2 linked regions of the Tribolium castaneum genome follow. The protein of the gene in region 1 purifies or fractionates together with the protein of each later gene. This does not show direct contact. Links are inferred from orthologs where the notes say so. Each region holds a gene or a part of one and is shown on either strand. Other genes may lie near its edges.

What was found.
Region 2: the proteins of sax (region 1) and Gbb purify together in Drosophila melanogaster (affinity purification with western blotting, with the first as the bait; 3 studies listed by BioGRID). This does not show direct contact. The link is inferred for Tribolium castaneum from reciprocal best matches to the Drosophila melanogaster genes sax and gbb.

The regions. Positions count from the first base shown.
Region 1 is NC_087396.1:20,719,972-20,724,195, reverse strand, and holds the start of sax (saxophone precursor), read right to left. Parts: upstream 2,814-4,224; 5' UTR 2,808-2,813; coding exon 2,747-2,807; intron 2,636-2,746; coding exon 2,396-2,635; intron 2,336-2,395; coding exon 2,066-2,335; intron 996-2,065; coding exon 647-995; intron 593-646; coding exon 370-592; intron 316-369; coding exon 128-315; intron 80-127; coding exon 1-79. Other genes in the region: Slc35f5 (solute carrier family 35, member F5), read right to left, coding at 3,471-3,546, 3,598-3,843, 3,889-4,048, 4,099-4,224.
Region 2 is NC_087398.1:11,155,277-11,159,319, forward strand, and holds the start of Gbb (glass bottom boat protein precursor), read right to left. Parts: upstream 2,850-4,043; coding exon 2,489-2,849; intron 2,432-2,488; coding exon 2,245-2,431; intron 2,189-2,244; coding exon 2,034-2,188; intron 1-2,033. UniProt on the Drosophila melanogaster protein: Required for the growth of imaginal tissues and for patterning of the adult wing.

The DNA of each region.
Region 1 (4,224 bases):
TCGGCATAATTCCCACAGGACAAGCCCTAGGGCGTAAATATCAGCTCGACGGAACGAATCGAAATAATCCATTCGTATCCTACAAAGAAATGTCTTGAAATAAACTACAATAAAATGAAACTCTCACGTTTCGTCTAAAACCTCTGGGGCCATGTAACGTTTCGTCCCAACTTTGGGATTGGAACCAATATCTAACTGGTCAGTGGCTTGTTGATGCGTCACCGCAAGCCCAAAATCGGCTATACAACAAGTCCCATTATTTTTTACTAGAATATTTTTACTTTTAATATCGCGGTGGGCGATGGCTGGCTTTCCCTTAAAAAATAATTAAACGTAATTTAGTAGTTACGATCAAGTGTGTGATTTTACTTCAGTCCCAAATATCTCTGTGTGCAGGTGCACCAACCCATTGGCAATCGAAAGACACAAACGCAGTAGCTGTTGATGGGTGAGTGTGGTGCGATTTAGATGGTCGTAAAGACTGCCCAATGGGTGGTAATGGGTGATTAACCATAGCTGAGTGCAGGAATTACGAGACGTCATGTCCGAACCAATGTACCCCAAAATATTCTCGTGCCGTAACAAAATTGTACTGAAATAATAGTGTTTTATTTAAAAAATGGCTAATAAATTTGCGAGGACCAACCTGTATATTTCCGTTTCCCTGTTCCAACTGGCCTCGTCTCGCGAGAAAAATATTTTCACGGCTACATTTTCCCCGAACCAAATGCCTCGCCAGACTTCGCCGTATCGGCCTTTTCCGATGCATTCAGCGAGGGAAATTTGTTTTGCCATTGTTCTCTGGATGAGGAGAGGGAGACCAGAACCGCTCCCCGATGTTAGAGAATTTTCAAGGTATTCGCGCAAGGTGCTGTCGCCGGCAGCTGTCGCTCGCAACAAATCGTCAGAAGCGTAATACGTATCAGGATCCAGACGACTTTCGAGGCATAATCGGCGCTGGTGAATGCGTCGCATTAAGTAAAGAACGATGGCACCTGGGGGGATATTTCTAATCAAAGTGGTGTCTGACTTTGAATTACATTGGTCATATAACTTTTAAATTCAAACCTTCATAAATCAATTTTGTCATTCGTTAGCATTACTACAATTGCGATAAGATAACAACTATTCCGTTTCAGACCTTTCAAGAATAAACTGTCGTTTAATTTTTGAAATCCACTGAAAATAATGTAAAATGCTTTTGCTGAAATTACTGAAGTTTCTATCTAGTTAGTGTCTTAAAAGAACTTAACGCCACCTACTTCCTTGTAAAGACAGGCTAATTTATTTAAAACACACGACATTTTTTAACTATCTAGTCAACTAAGAACAATTCTCTTTAAAAATAAGTTCCGTCAAACAATATAAACTTAAAGAAAATGTGATACCTACCCATTTCTGAGTCTATTCAGAAAAAAATCTTTCAAACTTAAAAAAATTACAAAACTTTACAAAAATACCCGATCAAACAAAAATGCCAAAAAATACTTTTTAAAAATAATTAAAAAAAAGTTTAGTCGAACAAATATAAAATAACTGTCCAAATCTAACGATCTGATATTTTTTTCACGGTAATAAATGTTATCTATTGTCAATAACAGTGTGAATAAAGTTAATGAATAAACATTTGATTTATTCTTTTTGATTTGATTTAACATACAATATGTTTCAAAAAGATTATGCTTAAATGTTGTTTTGTGATAAAAATTCTGAAAAAATCGCATAAATAAAGAAAAAGATTAAGTATTTAATAGTAAACGCTGACTTCTGTGCAACTGCTGAGATAAATAAGAGTTATTAAATATCAAAAAAAAAGATTAACCAAGATAAAATACATAGATAAAATAAATTATTTTTTATTTTATTTACAGTAGTTGGTGTGGTAATTTTAATGCCTTAAAAGGGTAAAACCATCAATTTATTTAGCTGTTTGTGCTCCACTGCCATTTTGCTTAAAAAGGCAGCAATAAATGCACTAAATTTGTCACTGAATGCAGTTTTTTCTACAGGTTTGAATAGAAATCCTTATGCATTTTTTGTTTGTATTATGTGATATTTTGCTCACCCAACGTGCCAATAACCACGACCGGTCCCAGAATCGCGGCCGTCATTTTGAGCGCATAATCAACTGAGTCAGAGTGCATCGTCATGTTCTTGGTAAACAAAATCGGCAATTCGGGGAAATCCCCCTTGTTGCAAAAATCGCCAGTGCAGCAATCGACCTGGAACTGGCCGCTGGCTTGTCGCTTCTGTTGCCCACTAAAGGACGGAGTACGGCATAAGAACGGCAATTGGTCTGTCTCTTTCGTACAGCCCCTAGTCACAGTCTCTAGCCCTAAAAACACGAAAAATAAAATATGTCGCCAATTTCAATTTCACCCCAAAGCCTCGTTACCGGACGTTTCCCGAACGCGCGACTTCCAGCACTGGATGGCGTCGAAACACACAGTCGGGTTGGAGCAATTCGGGGGGTCACACAGGTGGCATTTGTAGCGCTTCACATTGTCGTTTGTTATCTGATTTTGATTGACTTGAAAAGTCTCCAGGTTTTTAGGTAAAGCGCTGTGCTCATTGCCGAGTTCGTCGTCCTCATCCTCGGCGTCTTCCTTCAGCTCAGGCCTTTGGATCACTTCACCTACGGCCAATCAAACATGGGGCACGAACTCCACACACGGGGGGATCAAAAATCCCAATAAATCAAACCGAACGAATGTAGATTTTTAGGGAATGTGGATACACAACTCACCTGTGCAGATTTGTATCAATAATATTATTAATAAACAATTTATGGTACTTGTGGCGGCCATATTACGCCGTATAAATAACAACACAAGTCGGGATTTTTGTTTTGTTTTGGTGGCAGTCGCAGTAACGCGAGCTCGAAATGGGCCGTTTATTGTTATTTATTTATTACAAAAAGTGTTAACAAGTAATTCGGTACGTTATTAGCATTATTAGGGCCTTGTGTAATTTATTTCCACAACTGGGGGCACGTAAGCATTAATGAGGGCCGGAACGTTTTCGGCGTTACGTGCTTTAGGAAACAAGGAGGAAGGCGGGAGATTGAAACACTCAAGGTGCGTTCATAATATACTCTATTCTGCAATAATATTTACATTCTAACACGTTTTTGTCAGAAAATATGTTACACATGTTTCCACATTATATTAAAAATATATGGCTTAGAACTATGGAATGCATACACAGACTTTTTCTTATCGAAAGTTGTGAAAAACCTATGAGATCGTGAAATGCTAGTTGAACGAGTTACAATACTACTAATTAATTGTAGAACATATTGTCTAGTTACTGTTTTGAACGTATTACGTGCGTTTAATACACTTCCTTAACTCCGCATATTTACAATGAATTAATAAAAATAAAAAAGATCACAAAGTAAAAATCTTATCATCACATAAATTGTAAGCACCATAGTAGGTATAAAAACAGCAAGAAAAAATCAACTAAACCTACGCTTCATGTTCATTACTGTTAATACCAATCAAGGCTTCGGTTTGTTCCGACGGCATTTCAGCAAACCTGAAACTTCACAATTGCCCCAATAAACAAACCCACAATTGTTTGAATCCTAATTACCGCATAAATCTGGTTCGTCGGCAAATACTTAGATAGGCACAGCGTATAACGTCGAGTACAGGGTCCCAATTGTCGTAATGCGAAAGTAAAGTGACGGCAAAAAACGCCACCACCATAGGAATACTCCCTGTGTAAAACAGAGACGGATAGACGATCTTCTTCAAAAAAACATCCATCAACATGGTCATCGGAATAGTCAAACTCATTGACATGGTCGCCATCAGCGAGGACGTCAAAAAACAACCCCTAAACATTTCTTACAAAACTTTACCACCTTGTGAAAAGACTCACCATAACCATAAAGCCTCCGAGATAACGGTCCCTAAGACCCCATTCAGAAGCAACAACAGCACTTGTTGCCTCGACGGCCATTCGAAAACTTCCAGTCCGCTAAAGTGCAAAAAGAAGAAACATGGCCACAGGAGAATCAAATTGAAAAATCCCACGAAACCTGCGACAGACTCGTTTATTTTTTGAGTGCGAGAAGGAGGAAAGAAGTACCGAAAAACAAAGGAATGTCGATTTTGTCCTCATGATCCACTTTGCGCTTGAGGAAAACTAAATAAGTGGCGTAGAAAAATGCGCTCAAGAGGGAGAGGAAAGCGCCCAATGGAACGCTAGATTCGA
Region 2 (4,043 bases), on another chromosome or scaffold:
TTATAATTTGGCAAATTTTATTTCAAAAATTTGGGTTTTACTAAGTGAAAACCCAAAAATAACACAATTCTTGGCCCAACTTGGCGATTTTTCGGTTTTTTTCTAATAAAATATTAATTTTGTTTCTACCAGAAAACGCTCAAAAATAAACAGTTCATTTATTATTTGGTGTTTTTTTGTCAGTTTTAGACAAAAAGCTCAAAGACGGTAAAAAAAACTTCAGATTCCTGTTAATCAACCGATTTTTACAAGATTTCGCAGAAAGATAACCAAAATAACATTCATTTCGATTCATTTTTGTGATTCCTAGACGTGTTTGAATTCAACTCAAAAACTAGCTTACAGAGCAAAAATTTTTAAAATAATTTATAGCAACAAATAATACCGTTTTTGGTCTTATTTGGTCGTTTTTCGGTTTGTTATCAAACATTTGTAACTATATATTTGTCCCAAAAAGTCCATTATTCATCTTTAAATGTTAGAAATGTAATATTTTTTACCTAAGCCAACTAAAATTATTTTCAAGCTCTTTCGGAAATAAGCTGCAATAAAAATTTATGTTTTTTTTTAAACAGAACACCCAATATTTTTTTGCATTTTTGGATGTAGCTTTACTATGGTAACGACAATGCTAAAAATAATTTGTAATGTTGCTGAAATTAAATTTAAAGTGAAATAAATTTTTTAATGGTAACTGTAGGCATTTGAAACTTTATGTCTTTAGACAGAATATTTATTAATGTTTGAAAAAGAAAAACAAAAAATTGGGTGTTCCATTTAACTTTTGGAGGTTATTCAACCTTTAACAAACTTCTTAATTTTTCTGTGTTCCTAAGTTTGAACATTCTTCTTTAAAATTCTCTTTTTGTAGGAATTTTAGTTTTTGAGCTAAACATTTTTAAAAACAGCGTGTTTCTGGTAAAAAAATTAAAACATTTCAAAAACTGAGCAAAATCAACCAATAAAAGTTTAGGACAAAATCATCAATTTCAAAAGCTAGATTCAAAATTGAAAAACTTGTAAACCTTGTATTGTAGTTCATTTCCGAAACAGCCAGTGTATTTGAAAGTAATTTTAGTTGAGACAGAGGGTTATTATCTACAGTTTAAGAAAAAAATATTACTTTTGCAACATTTAAAGGTAAATAATGGACTTTACCTACTCGCTAGGACACTGCATGCCACTGCATATTTGCTGAAAACCGTACTAAAACCCTAAAATGTAAAAATAATACAATTCTACATTTAAATTAATACTCTGTTGATTATTTAGCAGGGAAATCGCACAAAAAAACTAAAACATTAGTTCAAAAACGTTCAAAAAAATCACTCATGTGAATTAGGCAAAATAACATATTAAGTGTCGACTACCTAATTGTTTTCATTTCTAGACGTGTTTTGTGGTAAGTTTTTAATTCAAAAAACGAGCTTAAACCCTTGAAGAGCAAAAACAACACCATTTTTGGAATAATTTTGACAAATTTCGTTTCTTTTTTAAAAAATAATCCAGCAAAAAATCAAAAACACAACACCATTTCTGGCCCAACTTGCTTATTTTTCGGCTTGTTTGTAAAAATTTCGTCATTTCTGGCTGACAACGTGCTAAAAGGCTCAAAAAAGTAAAAATTCTGTAACTTCTGACGCAATTTGGTAATTTTTATCAATCTGTTAATCAACAAAACTTTCAAAAAATGTGCTTATAAAGACGCGAAAAACACAATATTGTTATATTTTGAAATGGTTTTTCAACTTTCACTCAAGGATGAGCTAAATCGAAAGAAATAAATAGTAAAACAACATTAATTTTTGCCATTTCTCGACGCGTATTGTGATTTAGCAAAATTAAAAAACAAACAACTTACATAGTGCACAATTTTCGCCTTGTATTCAAGAAAATATTGATGAAAAACGTGGTAAAAACTATTCGCAACAGTTTATTGATTTTTGTTACAAAGTATTTTCAAAATAATTGCATCTTTGGATGATGGACATTTATGACACGCCATTAGGAAAAAATTTGGGATAATTACCTACCTGGCTTATCGACCGGATGTACCGACAGGTAGAGACCCTTATTGGAATCGGGGAAAGCCACCCAAGTCGGCAAACAAGCCGTTAAATTCAGATTTAACCACCCGGTGAAACTACCTGTTGTATTTACTGCAGAAATGTACTCCAGTTCTCTCTCACTGTAATAATTCCCAATAATAAAAATGTAAAATAAATTGTACAGAAAATAAAGTACCCCGAATCTGTGTTGACAAGTTCAAACACTGTAACAGTATACACATTTCTGGCCTTTTTAGGCGAATGAATTTCCTTCTGATAAATCCGGAGCTCAGCTCCGACCACATTTTCGGCAATCGGCATTTCCGAAACGTTAAACCACAGCCTTTTGCCTCTTTCGTGCCGCACGCTGCTCACGTGGTGGTCTAAATAAAATATAAATATACAATAAAAAAAAATAAAAAATGGACCAAAATCTTTACTTATGCTCTCAAAAGTCATAATAACGTCGCTCTCGTCGATCGCATTCTGCTCGTCTCCACTGAGGTTCAAGTCAGCGCTGCGCTCGCTCCTGGAGTGGCCCTCGTTCTCCTCCTCCATCAGCGACTTGTAGATGTCCAGGAGGAACTTGGGGGCCGACCGCTTCAGCGAGTTGGAGACCCGCTTGGGGCGCTCGGGGAGGCCCAGCAGGTTCAGGATCTCCATCTCCATCTCCTGCTTCTCGCTGGTGGTCATCTCGCGGTCGATGACGGTCTGGTTGAGGCCGTTGTCGATGTAGATGCCCGCTTTTGACCAACATAGCGCCTCTCCTAGCACCAAACTAAGCACTAGCACGAAATTCATCGCGGGACTTGGCCGAAACACCGACGCAAACACGAAATTTTCGCTCTGGAATTCGAATATTGCGGAGGTGGTCGAGGAGGTGTTGTCAAGTCGCTGGTTCAAAACTGCTCAAAACCAAGCCTGGGTTGAGTGGAAAAGACGAAATGTGGCAATGGTGGATGGGTTTACTTAAGACAGGTTTTAGCGCCGCAAGCGTCCAATCGTAAGCCGGCTTACGACGCTTGTTATTAAGTCAATTAATTAATTCGGTGGATGGGTGAGATGCTTGTTTACGAACAGTTGTGATGATGCATTTTATTATTTGGATATCAGGCTTTTTTGCACAAGGACAAACAGGAACAAAAAGGAAATTTAGCTAAAATATTAAAAACAAATAAGCTTTTAACTACTACGCTTGCTTCAGCACGTTTTTGAGGTAAAGATATTTTTTTTCCAAAATATTACCAAAATGAGGTAAAATTAGTTATCTTATTTAATGACTATTAGCATGTTTTTTACCTAGAATCGTGATTAGGTCGCAAAGTTTCTAAAAAATAAACCCAACACTAACAGGCACTAAATTAGATCGAAAACAGTGTAATTTTTCGATTATGAAGATATTATAAGCCGCACTTTTAGTGCCAAACTGGATCAAAGTAGTATATACAGGGTGTCCGTTGTTCGAACTCCACCATAGGAAGCTCAGTTATTGTAAAAGATACGAAATCTTTAAATTATGGCAACTTGAGCATTTTTATGCTGAACAATTATCTAAAAAAAAAAAAAAATTGATATGTCTTTTTTAGTCAAGGGCGGCACCAAACTTTAATTTCATTTTTTTTTAAATGAGGTAACAGCCTAATGAACAAATGTTTTTCAAATAACAACGTTACGGAACATTAATTAATAATATGTTACAATTATCATTAGTGTGTTTTCTTTAATGAATTATATATATAGTCTTTAATATCACAGTTTTCTTATCATTCAGCGCCCTTGGGACCCCTTCCTAGCATACTTGGTCCGACTCTGTTAACTTTCACAAAATAATTTTTTTGTTCAATTATCAACATAACATCAAATACACAAACGAAAAATTAAAATTTATACGCTGATGAAAATAATTCAGATATACATTTTAAAATTTTACAAATTCTAGCGATTTACACAGGCAACCAATTATACAAAACCGTGTTAGATATTTAGTTTAAAATT